Lonchura striata: one gene and its partners. The protein of the gene in region 3 interacts with the protein of the main gene of each other region in a pairwise test. Links are inferred from orthologs where the notes say so. Each region holds a gene or a part of one and is shown on either strand. Other genes may lie near its edges. The genes, in order: SNRPA, NDUFAF4 and NDUFAF3.

Region 1 (7,022 bases), on a different chromosome or scaffold from region 3:
GGATTTGGGGCTTTACAAGGGATTTTGAAGAGAGTTCTAAGGGATATGGAGGAGTTCCAAGAGGGACTTTGGCATTTTCCAAGGGATTTGGGGAAGTTCAAAGAGGGATTTTGTGATTTTCAAGGAACTTTGCGAAGTCCTAGGAAGAATTTTGCATATTTCAGAGGGATAGGGGGAGAATTTAGAGGGGATTCTGGGGAGTTCCAAGAGGGATTTTGGGGCTTTCCAAGGAATTTTCAAGGGTTCTGAGGGATTTGGGAAAGGTTCCAGAAAGGCTTTGGGGATTTTCTGATGGTGTTTGGGGGAGCTCCAAGAGGAATTTGGAGGCATTTCAGGAAGTCCTAGCAAGGATCTAGGAATTTCTAAGAGATTTTGAGGGAATTCAAAGAAATTTAGGGGGGATTTGGGAGTTTCTGAGGGATTTGAGGGAATTCAAGAGAGATTTTGGAGTAGCTCCAAGAGGGATTTGGGGGTTTCCAATGGATTTTTAGGGCTTCCAGGTTGAATTTGAGATTTCACCAGAGGTTCGTCATAGAAGGGAAAGCTTTGGGAATTCCTGGCTGGATTTTAGGGCTTTTCCTGGAATTCTGGGGTTTTTCCTGGGATTTTCTTCTTTGGGGCAGCTCGTGGTTTGATTTTGGTGCATTTCTGGTTGGATTTGGTTTGGTTTTGGGTTTTTTTGGTTTGTTTGTTTGGTTGGTTGGTTTTGTTTGTCTGTTTTTTGTGGGATTTTGGGGATATCTGAGGCTGGATTTTTTTTTTTTTTTTTTTCCACAGAAATTCAGGTTTTTTCCACAAAGTTTGAGGATTTTTCCCATAATTTGAGTATTTTTCACCAGAATTTCTCTCTCATCATAAACTTGTCATGAAACAAGAAGTTCCAGGGGTGTTCCTGGTTGGATTTTGGGGATATCTGAAGCTGAATTTTGGTGTTTTTTTCCCCCAAGAATTCAGGATTTTCCACAAAATGTCAGGATTTTCCCTTGAATTTGGGTCTCACCATGGGCTTCTCATAGAAGAGGAAGCTTTGGGGTGTTCAGGGTGAATTTGGACAATTACAGGTTGGATTCTGGGGATATTTGAGGCCAGATTTTTGCCTTTTTTCCCCAGAATTTCAGAGTTTTTTTCCAGAATTCCAGTTTTTCCTCAAAATGTCAGATTTTTTTCCCCAGGTTTCTGCCCCACTGTAGGCTTGTTATAGACAGGAAGCTTTGATTCTTAGTTTGATTTGAGAGTGTTCCCAGGGGATTTTCTGTAAATTTCCAGTTGGATTTGGGGTTTTTTTTCCAAGGAATTCAGTTTTTTTCCAGAATTCCAGGATTTTTTCCCATATTCCCTGTGTTTTCCCCTAGGATTTCTGTTTCACCATGGATGTGTCATAGACGGGGAAGCTTTGGGGTGGTCAGGGTGAATTTGGAGAGATTACAAATTGGATTTTGGGGATATTTGAGGCCAGATTATGGTGGTTTTTCCAGTCTTTTCCCAAAATTTCAGAATTTTTCCCCAATCTCTGTCTCACCATAGGTTTGTCGTAGAAGGGGAAGCCCTGCATGGAGCGCAGGGCATTGGTGGCGCTGCTCATCTCCTTGAAGATGACGAAGGCCTGGCCCCTCATGCGGAGACTGCGCGACACCAAAATGTCCAAAATCTGCCCAAACTGGGAAAAAATGGCGTAGAGGGACTTCTTCAGCTCTGGGGACAGAGAGAGAGTATAGTGACAATGGGGACAGCATGGTGACAGCAGGGACACCCAGAGGACAGCCTGAGCCCCTGGGGACACCCAGGGACACTCTCAGACCCCCCAGCCCCCCCCCACCGTCCTTCTTGATCTTCTCGTTCAGGTTGTTGATGTAGATGGTGTGGTTGGGCCGGGGATCCTGCACCGCCATGGCTGGGACCTCTCTGTGGGGACAGGGGGGCTTCAGGGGGCGTCTGGGGGCTGCGACCCCTTCACCCCCTGGGACCTCCCTTTTGGTACCCCAAACACCCAAATCCACCCCAGACCCACCTATACCTCCACCTAATCACCCTCAGACCCCCTCCCAAATTGACCCAGACCCACCTGGGACTCCACAAAACCTCCTCAGAGCCACCTAAGACCCCCGCCAAATTGCCCCTAGACCCACCTCAGAACCCCCCATATCCCCCAATTCCCCTCAGACACCCCTAAAACCATCTCAGAACCCTCCAGACCCTCTCAAGCTCCTCCCCAAGCCCCCTCAGACTCCCTCATTCCCCCCAAAGTGACCTCAGATCCCCCTATTTCCTCTCAAAATCCCCCATTTCTCCTCAGACACATCTCAGACCTCCCCAACCAACTTCAGATCCCCCCATTTCCCCCCCGACCCACCTCAGAGCCCCCTTCGCCCTCATTTCCCCCCAAATCCACTTCAGACCCCGCAAAAACTACTCAAACCACTCCAATTCCCCCCAAATCCGCCCCAGACCCACGTCGGACCACTCAATTCCGCTCATATCCACTTCAGAAGCCCCCATTTCCACTCAAATCCCTCTCAGACTCCGCAAAAACCCCTCAAACCCGCTCAATGCTCTCCGAAACTGCCTCGGACTCAATTCCTCTCATACCCACCTCAAACGCCGTCAGTTCCGCTCAAACCCCCCTCAAATCTCCCCAATTCCCTTCCCGTTCGCCCTAGATCCACCTCACACCCCACAAAAGTCCCTCAAACCACCGCAATTCCTCCCAAACCCATTCCCGACACAGCTCAGACACCCCCATTTTTCCTCCAGTTTCCCGCCGGACCAACCTGAGATCCCCCTAATTATCCCCTCAGACCGCGCAAAAAACCCTCAAAGCCGCCCAATATCCCCCAAATGCGTCCCGCACGTACCTCAGAACCCTCACTTCCCCTCAGACCCGCCTCAGCCCCTTCCCATTTCCCTCTAAAGCCACCTCCGACCCCTCCATTCCTCACAGGCCCCCAACTGGCCTCCCTCCTCAGCCGCTCTCCCCGCACGATCTACCGCCGCCGCGTGCGCGGGCCCCCCTCCAGCCAATAGCGGCGTGACCTGCCCCGAACTAACCAATCACCGTGCGGGTTCCCTCAGTTACGCCCGCCTCCCCCGCGCCGCTGCAGCCAATCAGAGGCGAGACGGAAATGGCGTCCCCTGACCCCAGGGCCGGGCATGAGCCCGGTGGCCCCGGGCGCCCCGGGCTCGGGCGGGTCCTGCGGGAGGCGCTGGGAGAGGCCGGAGCTGCGGGAGCTGCGGAGGGGCCGGGACAGGTGGGGGAATGGGGGATGAGGGTCCTAAGAGGGGACCGTGGGGGAGGGGTCTTGGGAAGCGTCTGGGGAGTCTCAGGGGACATCCTGGGCTGGGCCCGATTGGGATCTGGGAGTTCTCAAGGGGGTGCTGGGGGGATCTGGAGCTCCTGGCGGGGTTTTGGGGGTCCAGGGTGATCCTGGGCCAACCTTGAGGGGGGCTCGGGGGGGGTTGGGGTTCCTGGGGAAGATTTGGGGTCCCGGGGAGTCCCAGGCCCAGGCTGAACCGGGGTCTGGGGGTTTCAGGGGGAGGGGGCACAACAGGGGTTCCCCCCGCCCCGTTTTTGGGGGTCTCCCATCATGCTGTCTCCCCAAAAAGTGGTTCCTGAAGCATCCCCCTGAAGTGGCTCCTGTTCCACCAGCCGGTGCCCCCTCATCCAGGACGGCCCCCAGTGAGTCTGGGGGAATTTTGGGGAGAAGTTTGAGAGGGATTTTGGGGAGGCTTTTTTTTGGCTTTTAGGGATTTTGTTGAGAGTTTAGGGGGAATTATTAGGTTTTTGAAGAGAGTTATTGGCTTTTGGGGTGTTACAAGATTTTGGGGGGTTTTGGATTTTGGGGGATTTTATTGGAGTTTTGGCGGGTTTTTGGGGGGGTTTACTGAAATTTTTTGAGTTTTTTTAAATTTTGGTGGGTTTCACTGGGATTCTTTGGAATTTTGGAGGGTTTTATTGGGATTTTTAGGGAATTTTGGGGGTTTTTTAGTGGAATTTTGGGGGGCTTTGGGGTTGTCCCTGGGTGTGGGAAAGGGCTGACAAGCACCAAAATCTCCTTAAAACCCCCAAAAGTCCCAATAAAACCCACAAAATCCCAATTAAATCTCACAAAATCCCATTAGAATACCTTAGAATTTCAAAAAAAGCCCACAAAAATCTATTGAAGTCCCAAAAACCCCTCAATAATTAAACCACACAAATCCGCCCAAAAATGTCTCCAAAACCACAAAAAGTCCCACAAAATCCCCCCATGACCCAAAGAAATTCTGGTACAGGACACCCAAAAACCCCAAAAAAAACCTCCCCAAAATCCCAAGCCCTCAAAGAATCCCACTAAATGCCCCCCAGATTCCAACCAAATTACTCCAAAACCCCTAAAACTCCAAATAAAACTACCAGAAATTCCAGGGAATTGAACAAAATTGCCAAAATTTTTCAAAAAGCCAAAAAATTTCAAGAAACCCTCAAACACCTCCAGAAAAACAACCGTCCCAAAGCACCAATAAAACCCCCCAAAATCTACAAAATCCCCCAAAATTCTGCAACTCCCCCAAAACCCTATCATTTTCGTCAAAAAATGCAATGATTCCCCCTAAACTCCCACCAAATTTCCCCAAAGCCCAGAAAAGCCCAAAGTCCCCAAAGCCCTGATCCCTTCCAGTCTCAGCCCAGTCCCATCCAGGGGCACGGCCAAATGCAGAGGTCCCTGAGCAATCCCGGAGCCGATCCCAGAGCGTGCCCAGTTCCAATCCTGGTGCCAGTCCCAGAGGGATCTCGGAGCTGATACCAGTGTCATCCTCAGTCTTGGCCCATTTGGGAGATTTTAGGCCAATCTGGGCAGATTTAGGGTGGGTTTCAGATCCCTTGCAGTGATTCCAAGCCTTTTAGCTTGGATTTTAGGCCCCTTTGGCTGATTTTAGGCTGAATCTGGTGAGTTTTATGGGGGATTTTAGATCCCTTTGGCTGATTTTAGGCCCATATGGGTGAATCTTAATCCTGTTTGGTTGGTTTTACGTCCCTTGTTTTGGTGATTTTGGGCCCATTTGGGTAGATTTCTGGCTTCTTTGGTTAATTTTAGATCGAACCAAGCATTTTAGGGTGACTTTAGGTCCTCTTGTATTGGTTTCAGGCATGTTTGGATGATTTTAGTAAAAACTAGGTGGATTTTAGGGTGGATTTAGGCACATTTGGGTCATTTTAGGCAGAACCAGGTACTTGCAGTTGAAAAACACCAATCACTTGTTTTTTTGAATCTTATAAAAAATAGTAATAAGATTGGAGTAATAAAAATTTGGACTAGAGTAATTAGTGTAATAAAAATAGGATTAGGACACTATGAGACAATAAAAAGCAAAGAATTGCGGACATCTGCATGCTCTCGGACACTAGGTCACGAAAAGCATGCCTTGCGAACAAAGGAATAACCTTAAAAGCAATAGCCTGTTGCATATTCATATATCTCATACATGATACATAAATTCCTTGCAAATTAAGAATTTTTCTGGTTTTTGTCAACTTCTTCCCCTTAATCCTGGTGGTTCCATAGGGATGGAGCGGAGGTGGAAGAATGTCTTTTCTGATAAGGAAGCCGTAACTCTTTAGGTTTTGTGAGCCGTAACTCCTTAGGTTTTGAGGCCATACAAGTGTTCAGAGTGTGGGAAGGGGTTTCAGATCAGATCACATCTCCTCCTGCACCATCGGTTTCACACAGAGGAGAGGCTCTTTTGCTGTCCAGACTGTGGGAAGGGATCCATGTACAATTTCACCCTCATTAACCACCAGTGGATTCACACAGAGGAGAGGCCCTTCTGCTTCCCCGACTGTGGGAAGGGATTCAAGCACAACTCCACCCTTACCACGCACCAGTGTGCCCATACTGGGGAGAAGCCCTATCAGAGTCCACAATGTGAGAAGAGCTTCTCATAGAACTCAACTTTGACCCAGCACCAACGGAGCCATCGGTGAGGGAGGCTCTGTGAGTGCCCTGACTGAGAGAAGAGCTTTGTGTGCTGCTCCAACTCCATCCCCCATTGAAGGACCCTTGTTGGGAAGAGATCTGGTGACCCACATTCCCTTGTGATCCATATTGGGAAGGCACCTAGCTGGTTGTTCTTTTGTTTTGACCTTCATTTTCTTCTGACTCAACTCCATCAGCCAAAACAGGCCTGAAAAGAAAGAAATTGATCAATGATGTCTGAAGTCCCACCATTTCACAGTTGTTTGAGAGGGAATTTAGGATTTAGAGACATATTCTGGAGGATTTGGGGTTCTGGGAGGGTTTTGGGCAGTGTTCTTCATCTCTTTGCACTGCAGAAACCAAGAGAGATCAGTCTTCACCTCAAAACAACTCAATCCCACTGAAAACAACTGAATTCTAATCCATAAGGGCTCAATCCCCCCTCAAAATGGCTTGTTCCCACCTCAAAAAACTCAGTCCCACTCCAAACTCGATTCCACAACTGCCAGAGTGAGATGGGGTTGGAAGGAGACTGGGAGAAGTGGGATCCAAATTTGGAGCAGTGGATCTGGATTGTGTGGGGCTGAGTGGGTGGGATGTATTTGATAGTAAATAAAACTTTCAGAGTTAGTGATTTCTTTCCCATTCATTTTCAGTCTGTTGCAGTTCTGTTTGCAGAGTGCCACCTTCCCAGCTGATTATGTTTGTGTCCTCCTTTCTCTCCCACCTCTCTTTGCCTGCTCTGTTTCTCTCTCTGTTGGAATCTGAGTTATTGATGATTCTGAGATAGTAGAAAGTCTCTGTCTCTCAGCCCTGCTGCCAAAGAAGAAGCCATAATTGGTCTGTGCTGGTTTCAAGGTTGTTTATTCTGTTTATCTCTAACATGTTCTGCTGCCCTGCCCAGCTCTGTCCTGCAGGGCAGCGTGTGGGGCTCTGCCCTCAGTGGGATGTTACAAACATTAAATACCAGAAACTCCCTGGGCTGGATTTACAATAACATGCCAAAATCTGTCACCTACATTGGACAGTGTGACCCCAGCCTAAACCAACAGAAAAATGCCAACACCACAG
Region 2 (8,144 bases), on a different chromosome or scaffold from region 3:
AAGAGAGTTGACCTCCTTCAGTTCCAGACTATATTCTGCTGCTATTTTCTCCGCAGTCCATATTTGAGGTTGAAGTTTATGATTATTAAGAAGTGTCAGAGCCTCCACAAGGGAAATTTTGCCTTTAGGAACTTTCTTAACATCTAGACCTTCCAAGTGGCCTAATTTTGTCAGTCTCTTTTCTTCCTGTTTACTTGGAAGATGTTCACCACCTCCATCTTTTACCTAATCGAGGGAAGGAAAACAAAAAGAGCTCAACAGCAGTTCTGTTTACTATGCATACTGTAGCACCTAAACTGCTTTCGTAAATATTTTTTCTGTTTAGCTTTTCCTGTTAGCTTTCCCTATTTTTTTAAAAACAGATTAGCCTGCCTAGCTTCTTTCACAGCCATTCCACATAGAGTGTCAACTCCCAACTAAATGCTGAAAAGCCTCTCTTCACTGCACTCTAAGCGTTGTATTGGCTTGGCAGCCCTTTATGCAAGGCAGACTACAGATTCTGGTAGGCAAATGTAAATCCAGATAGCCTAATATTCGCTACTGATTCACTGGAAGGGACAAAAAAATCATACAACAAATTGGTATCCTTCTGATACCACTGGAAAACTTTTTCATGTAGTCTCTCTCCCTTTCCTTTTGTTTCCAAATTTTAGTTTTCCTACTAAAAGAAATTCCTTCTTTTGCTCTGTCTAGAGAACAAGCTTTCCTGCTATTTTGCAGCATCATATGGAATTTAATTGCCATGACTACTGCAACATGTAGACACACAAACTGTCTTCTCTAAGGTTCCTTCATATTTCCAAATAATCTCCAAAACAGCTTTCACTTCCTCATATTTCCTTTAAGTAACATTTAATCAGTGAATCACACTGAAAAAAAAAGGCACAATTAAACCTTTCTTAAACTTAGAAGTATTTATATAGTAATCAGAGCCCACAGCCACTAATTATTACACAGACACTCCGTATTAACTCAGTTGCTGAGAAGACTGATGTGGATATTACAGCACCTGTGTGTGTCTGTTTCTGAGCTACAAGGAATGTCTGGCCTGCACTCCATGTCTTCTACTTTTTGCTAAAACTGTGCTTGGATAATGAATGATTTTTCAACTCTAAATAAGATCATCTGTCTCTGGGAATCTGCCACTTCAGGGCTCCCAAGCTGGTGTTTTTCCACTTACCATAGGCAGACACCCCAAACACACACAGAGGTGTGTACACATCACGTACACAATGCACAAAGTCATCAGGATAACATCAGGAATGGGAGAAAGCTTTTGTATTGCTTTGTCCACAAGTCTCTGTGATTACACTTCAGTTGTGCTCTAAAAACTGCAAGCAGACACAGCACAATGGCAAGTCTGTGGCAGTAAACTCCGAGAAGGCATAGAATCAAGCAAAGATTTGCTCCACTTTGGGCTTTTTCTCAAATCTCTCTTGACAGGCTTATACATGAATATTGAAAGATACTGAAATTAGAACTTCAGCACTTCAAGATTAGAGTCCTAACCTCTGTGATGGAAATTAAGGATAGAGATTTCTTGAAAATTTCAGGAAGAGACTGAGAAAATCTATTTGCATTTTAAATATTTTTGGACTTGAATACCATATAAGTGGCAAATTAGAGAGACTTAGGAATTTTGCTAGATGACCATAAAAATTTTACTGCTGAATAAATCAGCTGGAATAAAGTGGTCCAATAATGAAACAGTTAAAATACACAAACCATAGCAAAATATGATGGAAAAGAGGACACTGAGCCCCAGTCTGCATTTTATGAAGGAATATGCTTTAGCTTTCAAGTAAAAGTAAAAGATTGCAGCCAGTGGCAATAAGGAAATGATGACCACACAACCCACAAGATATTGTAGGAAAAAAACCTAAGGCACTTCATGAATTGGATAAAAAAAAAAGTCTCTGCACTGTACAATATTTAAAGGAGTTAAAGACTCCATTAAAGCGTAAACATCTTTGTCCTCTACCACATCCCTGCTCCCTAGCAGTCCCAGTCTCTTCTAACTCCACAAATGATTTCTGGCAAACTACTTTATCTTTGCAAAAGGCTTGAGATGTATCTTGCCTCATAGGAAGCAGAAAAAGGAATTTAGGTGAAGAACAGTAAGATCAACGCAATACTAAAAAAGAAGACTGTGTCTGCATTTACAAGCTTGTATAATTACAATCTGTCACACATTCAAAACCCAGGGTCAGACACACTCAATGTTACTGATGTATAGAAGAGTAATAAAAATACCACTTTTATCTATTGAAAAAAGATAACTTTTATGCACAGAGAGCATTTTTCTTGACACAGCCTTTGTGCTGAGTTTGAAGACCACAAAGCTGATGTTGGTATGGGTCGTAGAGAGATGCACTCACCTGCACCGGTGGATCTCTGGACTCGACATAAACATCTTTGAGCAAGGTGAGGAACCTATCGTCCTTTCTGAGAACTTCTTCTTTTATCTCTGGGCTATCTAAAGGCAGTGAGAAGAAGGGAAGGGAAGGAAAAAAAGAAGAAACGATTGATCTGAGTGAAAGAGTCTCCTTTTTGTTAGTTCTGCCAGCTCATCGCTTCCCCAGCGGCACGGCACGGCTCCCGCAAACGCACCTGCCTTCTTGGGAGGGTGCCATTGCTCCCACAGCCCTGACCTTAGCGACTCGGCTTCGCACGGTCCGGCTGGGCCGGTCACCGGTCACAGCACGGCGGGACACGGCACCCACACGCTCGGTACCGCCATCCCACCGCCCCACCACTTCCCCCGGGTCCCGTCCCCTCAACCACCTCCACCGAGCGGCCCCCGCTGCCGTCCCCCAGCGCTCCCGGGCGCTCCCTCAGCCCCTCACGCTGCTGCCGCCGTCCCCGCCCCGCTCCCGGCATGCCCCGCGCGCCCGCGCCGCTCTCAATGTCAGCGCCGCCGCACCGGGCGGGCGCCGCCGGCACTCACCGGCCGTGGCGTCCAGCCGGGCGGTGCGGTGCCGCGGCGCTGCCGTGGGCTTCTCCTTGCTGATCTCGCGGCGGGCCCGGTTCTCCACGTTGAAATTCCGGAACACGCGGGTCACCCGCCCGCCCATCGCCGCCGCCAGCCGCGCCTGCGCGCGGGGCACGCCGGGCAGGGGCGGTGTGCACCGGAAGGGAATGAACCGAGTGCTGCGGGCACACGAACAGACAAGCGAGCAGACAAGCGAGCAGACAGACAGACGAGCGAACAGACAAGCGAGCGAACAGACAAGCGGCGGCGGTCCTGCCGTGCCTTTCCTAAAGGCGGGCGTGAGCCGAGCCCGGCCCGGGCGGCTCCCGCCGGGAATGCTCGCGAAGTGCGAGCTGTGGCTGCCGCACGCTTTCCTTTGCAGGCGGAGCCCCCGGACACGCCATGGCGTGACTGTGGCTGTTTGTATATCGGCGGCGATAGGCACGGGTCGGAGCGGCAGCGAGGGACAATTCCCCAGTAGTGTTGGGAATTTGTGGGCTACACAACGCTTTCAGGGTGCAGACCCTCTTTTTGCAGCTCGACCAAATAAACTTTCTTCTGACTTTGCAAAAATTGTGAAAACTAATTGTGACAAAATGTTGAGAAGGCCTTAAGCCGTGTATGTTAAGAAAGGTAAATTTGTCGACAGAATCAAAATTGTTGAGATGGGAGTCATTTCATAGATTCAAGAAGTGTGTGAAAATATACAGAATCCTTAGAGAAAGGGAGGCAGAAAGAGTAAGAGCTACTGGCCTGATTCAAGAAGCAGTAAAGCCTGAGGGTTGACTACTTTATTCAGCCACGACTGATAAGGTGTCTTACCAAGAGAGATTAATGACTTGTTTGTTCCAGCTGCTGTGTGAATTAGCCAACAAATAATTCCCTTATGGCTTTAAATTTTGTATGTGCTGTTTGCAGAGTCTTAGTGCCTTCTGGGCCACCAATTAGTTCATGATAGTAGTTGCCTGAATGAAGTGACTTGAAGTGGGACTTTCAATGAATTTAATGAAGAACACTGAAAAGACCAGCATTCTTGTAGTTTTTGGGGGTTTCTTTTTGTGTGTGGTTTTTTTTTTTTTTGGTGGATGTTTTGTTTGTTTGTTTTTTGGTGGGAAACACCTTTTTTTCTGCCCTTGCATCTACCTCATCTACCTAGTGTTTCTTATTATTGTGGGCATATAAAACCTGGGGTTCAGAACTTGGTCTTCTATTAATAGCATTGTTTAGTAATAATAATTATGATGTGATAGTTTCAAGGCTGCAGTGTGCTTTAATGCTGGATTAATGAATGGCTGTGTTTTCCTTAGAGAGAAGCCAAATTGATTTAGAAAGGCAGTGGAAACAAGGCAGGATAAACATGGTGGTGTATGCTGGATATCTGCTCTCTTTGGGAATCAGGAAGATGCAGTTTCTCCATTTGTTTATTTTAAAGATTCTCACAGTCTGTAGGAGAACAGAAACATGTTTTTGTTCTCTGGTAATAAGCTTACTGACCTTGTCTTATTTTTGATATTGCATGTGAATGAATTAAGGAGACTAGTGATACAGTGATAATTGGAAACTTAAAATCTGCTGAAGTCAGGTGACAAGTTTAATTAAATATCTGTAGTCAATTACTTGCTGACTAAACCTGTGTTCTTAAGTCCAGGATTTGATACTTTTGTGAGTGGTGAATCTGTGTGGTGTGGCTGTAATGCAAAAATCCCCGTGGATGCCTTTGGTAGTTGTAGACCTTTCACAGGTACTTTAGCATTTGTATTCTTACTGATCCATCTGTGGATCAGCTATTGTGGCAAATTTGAAACAAAGTTTCTCCTCCAAAAGCTAAGAACTCCCAGCTTGTAGAACCAAACAGAGCACAGGGCTTCTGTCTTGATAAAGCATGAATGTGATTAACACTGCTGTAATATGTACTGGCAGCAAAATAAATTCACCAGAAAGCAGTCAGTTAAAAATAAAGAGTGATGTCATGCTCTGCCTGTCACTTCCTACGACTGAGGATAGCACAAAGCTGTTCTTTTCATGTATAAAGATGCATCAAAAGTTCAAGATTTTTATTCTGAAGAATGTTTCTTAGACTGTAGCAAGCAGAAGAATAGAGATTGAAAACAATATTTTTAATATAATTTGGTATTTTACCAATGTGACTATATTGATATTAAATATCAGTAATCAAGAGGTTGGATAGTTTTCCATATAAAGCATATAGATATCTGCAAGTGTGATTATTAAAAAATGAATGTATGTGTATTCATCTTAGACAGAGTTTCAAATGGGATGCATTTTTCTTGAACAAGGAGTCTGAGTCTTTCCAGGGAATTCAAAAATAACAAAACAGCCCATGAGAAGACTATCCAGCTGGATTCATACACACGTATTCTCAAAAAGTTTTCGTAGCAGCCTGTTCTGAACACCGGACAGCACATCAGAGAAAAATACTGTAACTCTCATGATATATGTGTGCCATAGGCTGCCACACTAGATCTCCTTGTAATCCTTCCATACCTCTTAAGAGAGAAATTTCTAAAGCTACTGGGTGCCTGGAAAGTAAGAAGTACATTTGTGACTGTTCTTTGAATCTATTTGTTTTCCATCTCAATTTTGATTATGTGTTGTGTGTACTGTTTCTTTCTCAGCTAGTTCTATCACTGAGTGGAAAATGAAAAATTAATTTTTGTATTTAACTAGCATCAAAAGTCTGATTGACCTATTGAAAATTTGCTTTAGAGAAGGGAGAATAGCCTGTCATTAACTTGTGTTACTGTGTGGGTGGGTACTACTAAAGTTTCTTTGCTGTCTTTACTACTCAAAAGATCAGGAATCAGAATATGAGTCCAGATGGGCAGGTAATTTCAGTGAAATAAGAGCCATTTTTTGGTAATAGTTGCTCAGCTGGAGAATTTTGGAGAGGAGGCAGGTGAGGTTTGCTTTGTGATTTGAGGTCTGGGAATGGCACAGCAGTCAACCACAGAGGAAAATGAGGAATGCTTTTATACAGCAGCATTAGAGGTTTGTATTTGATTCTGTCCACATTTTCTACCACTGAAACTGTTTTCCTATTCTCATCTTTCTGTTGTTGTTTGTTCATAATTGATGTCAGTCTAAATGGATACTTGAGCAAATTCTTATATCATTAGGATTCAGGGAACTGAGTCCTCTATCCAGATTACTGGTTTACCAGTAAGCACAATGAGAGCATTGATCCTTTTATTCCTTACCTCATCAGTGTTAGGCAGAACCAGAGAACACAGCATTAGCAAGAATTGATTATGAGCCAAGTAAAAATGACTGTCCTGCAACCTTGTAAAGATGAACTCAAGAGAGATGGACTTACTGATGGATCACTTTCACCTTTCAGTGATTTTTGGTTGTTCTGTTACTTAATTCAGATTATTTCTCTATTATTGGTTTCAACTGATCCATCTTTTACTGGCCTCTGAAGTATCTACAGAAGGATCTACGTTGAAGGATTTTGCTTAATTCCAGTCTGTGATCAATGTTCCCGAACACTTGCATATTTTCAAGGCTAGGTGGCTGCAGTGCTTTATTTAAAGGAGTTTTTGTCAAGTCCTTATGTGGATGAAGTTTATAGCAAGTGCAGCAAGCTCAGTGTTACAGACTCACACACCAGCCCAGACAGATCACCAGCTCCTTGTCAGATAATACTAATTTCAAAGACATGGCATTTAAATTTTCCTGATGGACTGTGGCTTGATACCTGACATAATCTTCCATATTTTTCCTGTATGTTGTTTCTCAATTAGCAGGTTACTTTGACTTGGAAATGCACAGTAGGAGACAGCATATTTGAGAATGAGGCAGCCTGATACTGGAATTAATTAATTTCATCAGTTACACATGCCTTTTTACTGAATTTTTACTCACAGGTTTCAGCACCCCATGTTCTCTTCTCAGTTGCAATATTAGTTGAGACAACTGACAGCCCTATTATTTCTCGTAACTCTGGTTTCAGTTCATCCTTCTTGCCAGTGTCAGGATGTAGGAACATCCCCAGAGCAAACAGCATCACACAGATGGTCTGATTTAAGAAAGAGAAGAGCTCTCCTAACTCTTCTAAGCTCTATCAATCACCGATGGTTTGGCTGGTCCACAGAAAGCTACTGGAAACACAGGAGGAAAAAAAAAGGCATGTGACAGGAGGAGTGAATAATGTGAACTGATACTGCTGCCAGGTTGGTTGGTTTGTGAGAGTTAGCACTTTGTTCCCAGATTGTTTCTCTGCAGCAGTGGCAGAAAGAACTGTGCCAGCTCCAGTGAGTAGGAGGAGGTGAACCAGCAATGGGAAGAGGCTGGATGGAGTGGAGAGGTGACTGGCTCATCTTGGGCTGGCTTTGGGGTAGCTTTGCTGGTGCTCCAACATCACCCAAGACAAACAACATCCTTTGTACTGACTTGAGGCAGTAACAGTAGCCATGATTTTAGTTCACTGCCACTGCAGTAGCTCTCTGATAGTCAGGAATAGAGTTGGTGAATGGATTCAGAATATTAGCTATCTGCTGGGGTTTCTTTTATGAAATATAACACATGAAAAATAATAAATATATAACCTAAGTGTGCTGGCAAGAGGCTCTTCTACAATAATGTAATATCTTTCCATCCCCAAATGATATTTTAATCTCTCTCTATGGTTTTAATTTATGATGACACATACATATTTATACCAGTGTGATGCATTTTTGTATACATAACTTTATAATTTAGTTGTATTATCTGGGACTTGATGTATCAAGGGATTGATTTTCCATGGTTTTGTACGTAGTTGGAGAACCAGTTTTATTTATTAATTTTACACTTTGATTGCATTCTTCTGCAATTTACAAATAGGGTATTTGCAGGTGTGAATTACATAAAAAAAATGAAGTATTTTGTTTACCTATGGGGGGCCAAATTTTGTGTAGAATAGGAAAGCCAAAATGACCTCAGTGAACACTTCTAAAACCATTTTATATATATCTCAGTCCTAAAGAAGGCTTATATATAGATCTTAAGAAGCTGGAGAAGTTACAGTGTGCTTTAATAGCTCAGTGGCTTAATCAGTGTTATGCTGGGTAAGTAGCATTTGAGTCCATGTCCTATACCTGTGTTTTTAGATGCAGTAGCTAAAAATCTGCCTGACACATGCAAAGGATTCTTTACAAATATTCAAGGAATT
Region 3 (6,677 bases):
TGCTGAAGAGTGTGTGTTTACCATCAGTGGTTTGAGGATGTCAAATTTGATTTATACACTAAAACCAGAGCCTGACTATAATGTCATGGTATTGATACCACACACTCATGAAGAACCTTGCTAAGCAAAGCCACCCTAACCTTTCAGCTGCATCCCCTGCCTTAGTCTGCCAAAGTGGCAGAGTTCAGGCCATGAAGCTGCCATTAGGTACATGTACTCTCTTCCCCAGGGATGACATCCCCAATTATGAATCATCCAGTTCAGGACAGGGACCCTTTCCAAGTCCCCTGCTGGAGTCTGAGCCTTCAGTGAAAGGGGGTGCAGCACCCTTGGACCAACACTGCCCAAGGGATATCTGTGCTGGGGCAGTACAAAGCTCCACTGGAGAGCCCAAGCCGGGCCAGCACCAGCTGGGACACACTAGTTGCTGGTGCTGGCTGTGCTCAGGAAGCTGCTGGCACATGGCATCCCACCACCACACGTGCTGCCCAGTGCCCAAGGTGAGCACATGTCCCATCAATTTGTTACAGCCTCAATGTGCAGTGCATTAACCACCACACAATTTCTTGGACTTCCCATTTACATGTATTTTCCTCCAGATGTGCGTGGGGATGTACAGCTCACCCCACCAGCCTTCACCCTCCCTCAGGTGAGGATTCTTGCCAAGGTGTGGGGCATGACCTTGGCAGGGCTGTGGGACCAGTGCTGCCAGCAAAGCCTTGTGCTGTGCCGCACCGTCTGCAACCCAGACCGGGCAGGGAGGCCAAGAAGCCAGGGACTGCAGGAGAGAGCTAGGCCCGTGTATTTCACAGCCCTCCTGTGTGCAGAGCCATCGGTTCACTACGGAGCGTTTCTCAGTGACCCTCGCGGGCTTCAGGCAGGCAGGGAAGAACCACTCAGCCCATGGGCATGGCCGGCAGTGCCTACACTCCGTAGGTGCCCCGCGGGGGGATGAGCCCAGCAGCCACCACACGCCTTTCATTCATTAGGAAGTTGAAGGTTGCACATGCATTCGCCTGTGAATAGAAAAGGGAGTGAGTGAAGCTCCGGCCCTCAGAAAGGAGACTCGGCCCTTCCCCACACGGCACATGACCCCCTCCCTTTCAATGGGGTGCTGCCTGGGCTCACCCTTACCGTGTCCTGCACCTCCACAGCAATCCCGCACTCCCGCATCTGCTTCAGCGTGGCGGGGTGGAGCCGCTCCACCCTGTCCCCTGTGCCCAGCACCAGGATCTCTGCAACCAGGGCAAGAGAAGGGTGGGCAGGGCAGCACCGGAGCTGCCTCGGCCCAGACCTGGCCCTGCCGCAGGTACCGAGGCTCCCGCACGGCCACCTCGACAGGAGCCCGAAGGGGGCAGCCCGCGCCCCGCGTACCTATCCGGGGCTCCAGCAGCCGGAACAGCGACAGACTCTCGAGCGAGATGTCCCGGTGGGAGCCAACCTGCGGGGACACGGCGGGCGCTCAGGGGCGCTGCCCCGGCGCTCGGGGCGACCGGCAGCGCCCGCCCCCCGCCCGGCACTCACGTTCCACTGGAGGATGCTGCGGGGCAGGACGGCGCAGGGCCCCACCACCAAGTCTCCGCTGATGGTGAAGCCGCGGGTGCTGTAGCTCTCGATGAACATGATGTTGGGGGACTCCGGCTCCAGCACCATCACCCGCGTCCGCTGGTATAGCTCATCATCCGCCGGAGTGAGTCGGTGACCCCGGCACGGCGCTCTGCGGGGAGAGTGAGCAGCTGGGACACGTGAGATCCACGGACACCTCCCGAACACCCTACGGCATCTACAGGCGCTCCCCGCGGTCGCAGGGCAGCCCGGTGCCGGTCGCACGGTGCCGGTACCTGGCCGCCGCCCGCCCGACCGCCGGCACGAGCCGCCGCAGCGCCGCCATGGCCGCGACACCGCCGGAACCGCCGCGCGGCCCCGCCCCCGCCGCTACCGCCCCCCGGCGGCCGGGGTCGGGACAGCGCCACCGGGGGAGCGGGACCGGACCGGGGCTCCCGGGGAGCCCTCGGGGTGCCCCGCCCGGGGTCCTGAGGGACGGGAGGGCAGCGACACTCACACACCCGCTGCCTCCGCGCCCGGGCGCCTCCGACCCGCAGAGCCCAGGTGGGCGCCGGAGCGAAACTGAAAGCGGCCGGTGGCAGGGCGGGAGCGGCACGGCGGGAGCGGGGTGTCCCGCTGGAGCCTCCCCGACTCCGCCGCCCCGACCCCGCCGCCGGGAGGGGCTGTGGACCGGCCCGGGCTGCTATGCCGAAGGCTGCGGGGCCGGAGGTGAGAGGGGAGCGGGCGGCTCCCCGGGAGGGAGGGAGCGGGCCCGGGTCTCGGCTGCGCTCCTGGCCCGGCCCCGCCGGTGCCCCAGGGCTGCCCAGGCTCGGCACGGCGCCCCGGGTCCCCGTGTGCCCCACTGCGGGCGGCTGTTGCCAGTCGGGGCTGGACCCCCGGAGCCACCGCCGGAACCTCCAGCTGCACCCTCAGCCCTCCTCCTGCCGCGCCCGGTGAGGCCGGCAGCACCGCGGGCTCAGAGCGCCGTGGGACAGGGACCCGCGCCCCCACCCGTGTCACCCACCCGGGGCCAGCCGTAGCCTGACGTTCGGGGGCCACCAGGAAGCTCCCCAGCAGTGGCGGCAGAGCATTTCCCGCCACCGTGCCGTGCTGGAGGCATCAGGAATTCCCACAGCCGGCAGCCTTGGCCGGCGCAGGGTCCCAGGGATCCCCGGGCAACAGCGCGGAGCTCCCCGTGGGGCCGGTGGGGTTCCCCACGCGGTTTGAATTCCCCCGTGGTGTTGCCGAGGGCTCCTCGCCGGCGGCGGCGGGGCCGGACCGGGCCGTGCCGCCTCTGGGCGCAGGTGCCGGGGCAGGTGCCCTCCCTCGGGGCCGGCTCGTGTTTCCGGGCTCCGTCGGGGGCCGATGGGCTGGCACCAGTTGCTCCAGCCCCACCGGGGCTTTGTTCGGAGCCGTTTCCTTTTGGCTCGGCTGTGCCGCCCTCCCATTGGCACCCGGCCCGCGGCGCGGGGGGAGCCGGCAGCACAACCCCGGTCTCTGCCGGCACCCCCGATCACAACGGCCCGGCAGTGGCTCCCACGCATCTCCTCCGCCCCGCTCCCCGCCGGTAAGTCGCCCTCTCCCCTCTTGGCCCACCGACTGCCTCAGGGTCGGGGTGGCATGGCCGTGGTGCCTGTGCCCATCGCTCCGCGGCGCCAGCGCGGGCAACGGAATCCCAAAAGCAGCTGTCCCCGCTGTGCCCAGCTGCGCTGGGGTTTCGTTACCCGCGCTCCCGCCACCGCCTCGCCCCGCACCGAGCCTCGTGTCCCACTGCAACCCCTCCCGGGGCTGGGGCAGCGCCTGGGGCCACACTGGAAGAAGGGTGGTGTCAGGATGGAGGATCACCGGTGTCCAGCCTCGTGGCTCAGCTCCTGCACCGAGCTAGGAGGCTCTTCTTTCATATGCCCCAAACAGCTAAAAATAGGATCTGGCTTCCTGGGAGAGTACGGGGAGCATGGCTCCCTGGCCACAGGGTGGATGTGGTCCCCTGCACCACGGTGGTGCAGGCTATGTGGTACTGCCAAACTTCCTGCCCATGCCGGCCCTCGCAGCACCCCAGTGCCTGCAGGGGTGGGCAGGATCCAGCCCCTGGAGAGAGATGGCTTTGGAATGACACGATCACTCCCGCTGAGCCAGCAGCCAGAGAGCCATCGGGGATGTCGTGTCTTTCCAAAGCTCTTTCGGCGCCTCCGAGAGCCCTCCCCAGGCCACTGCGCTGCCAGGGCCCACGTGGGCAGCCTGCAGGGACGTGGACGGATCCAGCCTGGACCCACCTTGAGTAGTGACAAAAGGTGCAGCAAGTCCCTCTGGCCAGGCAGGGGTTCTGGGCAGCTCCTGCCCTGCGGACAGTCAGCAGTTGGTCTGGTGTGAGCAGCAATTCTCAGATCACCTCTTGGCTGTGGGTGGTGCAGGGAGCACCCCACCAAGGCACGGCTAGGGGACATGTTCTCACTCCAGCCCTGGGGCTGCAGATTCTCACTGCCTGTGGGCTGCAGCCCTGGGGCTCCACAGCTGCCTGAGGAGCCCCAAAGTCAGTTGTTGCATTCCTGGAAGAGCCCATGCAGCAGGATCTGCCCTCGCCTTGCTCCCCCCCCTTTTCCCCCATGCACACAAGCCCTGGAGGAACCGGTTTGGGCCCTGCGGGCAGAGCTCCTTCCTTTCCCCCCACCCCCCCCATCTGCCTTAACGGGGAGGGCAGGAAGGGCACGGTAGAAAGGGACGTCCCTAGCTCTGTGTTGTGGTGGGGTTTGGTGCTTCCTGCTCCCTGTCAATCAGGCTTGGTGCCCTGGGGCTGGGGGTGTGCTGGGCCCTTGCCCTGTCCCCAGTTCAGCAGCCACTTGTCAGGGAGCTGGCCAGCAGTGTGAGCTTTCTGTCAGATCCGTGCTCGAACCGTTGCTGTGGAGCAGCTCAGCTCTGCAGATGTAATCAAGACCACGATGGCGTGATCTAATCGCTTCCACTTCCTTCTTCCTGGGGCTGATAAGCGGGACACTGCTCATGTGCTGGACAGGAGAGCAGCCCACTGGGACAGGCATGGAGAACATTGCAGGGTGTGCACCTGCAGCTGCTCATCGCTGTGCCATGCCAGGCACATGGCTGCTGCTGCGGTTCCTCAGCCATTGTGTCAGAGTCCAGCCAAGCCCTGGGGCTCATGGTGGACAGGCTGGACTGGCCAGCCAGGGTCTGCCAAGTGACACCATGCCCACAGCTGTGGCCTGCCTCACACACTCCAGCCCATCCAAAGCTCCCTTCCCACCACAGTTCAGGGTGGTGGGCCATGCCCACGGCTGCGCTGCACTCCCTGCCCCGGGCAGCCGGTTCTGCCCAGCCCTCTCTGACCCCGGCACGGCCTCTGGCTCCTGCTCTGCTCCTGAGGGTTTTAGGTCTGGGCTCCCCAGTTTTGGAGAAGCGGGGATTCCACTCCTGCACACCTGAGGATGACACCATGGCCCCGCTGGGCGAGGCTGAGCGGACTGACACCCTCTGGGGCCATTCGGGGTGCCTGGTTGCAGCCCTATGGTGCTGCCCTGACACACCCGCCATGGCGGCGCCGCTGCCCGCCACACCCACCATGGTGGCTCCGCGCCGGCCCCCAAGATGGCCGCCCTGCCCGGCCGCGCGCCCGTGACCAAGATGGCCGCCCGGGAGCGCCGCGCGCCGCACGCGACATGGCGGCCTCCTGGGCGAGGCGTGACGTCACCTCCGGTGCCGCCATGGGCGAGGAGATGGCCGAGAACCGCCCGGGGGTGGCGGCGACGCTGCGGGCGCTGAACGGGGCCCTGGGGCGGCCCGCCGCGCTCTGGGTGAAGGAGAGCGGCGCCCGCAACCTGCGCCACCGGGATTTCCTGGCGCCGCGGGCCGCGCTGAGCGCCGCCTTTCCCGGCGGGCAGGTAGGCCGGGGCGGCGCGGGCAGGGCTGGCTCGGGAGCGGGGATTTGCGGGAGCTGTTGGGTGAGGCCGGGGGCGCCGCTGCCCTGTGCCCGTGCAGCCCGGACTCCTCTCCGCCCGCAGGTGCCCCCCGAGGCCGTGTCGGCGGTGCCGTCGCTGCGGGGCCCGGCGGTGCTGCCGCTGCGGGTGTGCCGGCAGACGCCGGCGGGGCTGGCGGTGCAGGTGCGGCGCCCCGAGGCCTTCCGGCGCCTGCTGGGGCCGCTGCCCGGCCCGGCGCCTCCCGCGGCGGGGGCGCGGGCGGGCTGCGTGGTGCTGCACTGCCCGGCCCTGCGCGGCCCCGCCGCCCCGCGGCCCCGCCACCTGCGCTCCGTCCTGCTGGCCGACCACCTGGCCCAGCTGCTGCGCGCCCAGGGGTGAGTGCCTTTATCCCGTCCTTCCCGGCCCCTCGCCGCGGGGCCCGCCGCTCCCAGCGCCTGCCTCGCCCTCTGTCGCAGGGTCCACGTCCGCCTGGTCCCTGCGCTCAGCGAGGAGAGGAGCTGGAACGTCCTGCGGCAGCTCCGCGTCTCCTGGCCCTCCGGCTCCGCTGGCTCGTCCCTCACTGATGCCGTCTCGGCCTTGAAGGCGGTGCTGGGCCGGTGCCCCTGTGCCGCAGCCTGTGAGCAGGGGCCGGGCACAGCCGAGGGTGTCATCTTTAAGGTGCACCTGAAGAGCTTCGTGGAGCAGCAGGGCTTGTTGGGCTACGACCCCAATCTAGATGTGCTTCTCGGTGAGCTTCGCATGTACAACAGCTCGGGTGTGGCAGCGGGGCTAGAATGGGTGCAAATAGGCCTGTTTCCTTTCAAGTGTTTTTAACAAAAATGAGGTGGGGTGGTGGATACAAATGGCTTTCACTTCCTGTTCCCCTTCAGTCTGGTTTGAGCCTGGGGCAGACCCAGTGGTGGAGGTGGAGAACTCCATGTCCCATTTTGTGTCCCTCCTTCTTTTAGTGACAGAGAGGACACTGCGGGCCTTGGCTGAGCTGCAGGAAGCTGTTCTGCAGTGCCCAGTGAGTGACCCCACAGTACTGCTTGCCTCTTGCTTCCCAAGTGTCCTTCCTTTCTGCCAGGCAATAGGTTTGAGCTCCCTGTTGTGCTCTGCTGCAGGCCAAAGGCCAGAGCAGTTGCTGCAGCATCGTGCATGTGGTGAACTGTGAGGAGGAATTCCAGCAGCAGCAGCTGGATGTGCTCTGGAGGATTTTGGATCAAG

The links.
Region 1: the proteins of NDUFAF3 (region 3) and SNRPA interact in binary tests that used the Homo sapiens proteins (3 or more experiments, as listed by UniProt). The two-hybrid records come from large-scale screens. The link is inferred for Lonchura striata from reciprocal best matches to the Homo sapiens genes NDUFAF3 and SNRPA.
Region 2: the proteins of NDUFAF3 (region 3) and NDUFAF4 interact in binary tests that used the Homo sapiens proteins (3 or more experiments, as listed by UniProt). The two-hybrid records come from large-scale screens. The link is inferred for Lonchura striata from reciprocal best matches to the Homo sapiens genes NDUFAF3 and NDUFAF4.

What each region holds. Positions count from the first base shown.
Region 1 is NC_134637.1:4,272,426-4,279,447, forward strand, and holds the start of SNRPA (U1 small nuclear ribonucleoprotein A), read right to left. Parts: upstream 3,027-7,022; 5' UTR 2,937-3,026; exon of another isoform or gene 2,853-2,936; intron 1,903-2,852; 5' UTR 1,890-1,902; coding exon 1,817-1,889; intron 1,693-1,816; coding exon 1,520-1,692; intron 1-1,519. UniProt on the Homo sapiens protein: Component of the spliceosomal U1 snRNP, which is essential for recognition of the pre-mRNA 5' splice-site and the subsequent assembly of the spliceosome. U1 snRNP is the first snRNP to interact with pre-mRNA.
Region 2 is NC_134605.1:75,117,713-75,125,856, reverse strand, and holds the start of NDUFAF4 (NADH dehydrogenase [ubiquinone] 1 alpha subcomplex assembly factor 4), read right to left. Parts: upstream 3,100-8,144; 5' UTR 3,075-3,099; coding exon 2,948-3,074; intron 2,477-2,947; coding exon 2,379-2,476; intron 226-2,378; coding exon 1-225. UniProt on the Homo sapiens protein: Involved in the assembly of mitochondrial NADH:ubiquinone oxidoreductase complex (complex I). May be involved in cell proliferation and survival of hormone-dependent tumor cells. May be a regulator of breast tumor cell invasion.
Region 3 is NC_134614.1:15,583,305-15,589,981, forward strand, and holds NDUFAF3 (NADH dehydrogenase [ubiquinone] 1 alpha subcomplex assembly factor 3), read right to left. Parts: upstream 1,904-6,677; 5' UTR 1,892-1,903; coding exon 1,842-1,891; intron 1,718-1,841; coding exon 1,525-1,717; intron 1,442-1,524; coding exon 1,375-1,441; intron 1,236-1,374; coding exon 1,135-1,235; intron 1,017-1,134; coding exon 924-1,016; 3' UTR 563-923; downstream 1-562. Other genes in the region: DALRD3 (DALR anticodon-binding domain-containing protein 3), read left to right, coding at 5,259-5,435, 5,556-5,845, 5,927-6,198, 6,419-6,477, 6,575-6,677. UniProt on the Homo sapiens protein: Essential factor for the assembly of mitochondrial NADH:ubiquinone oxidoreductase complex (complex I).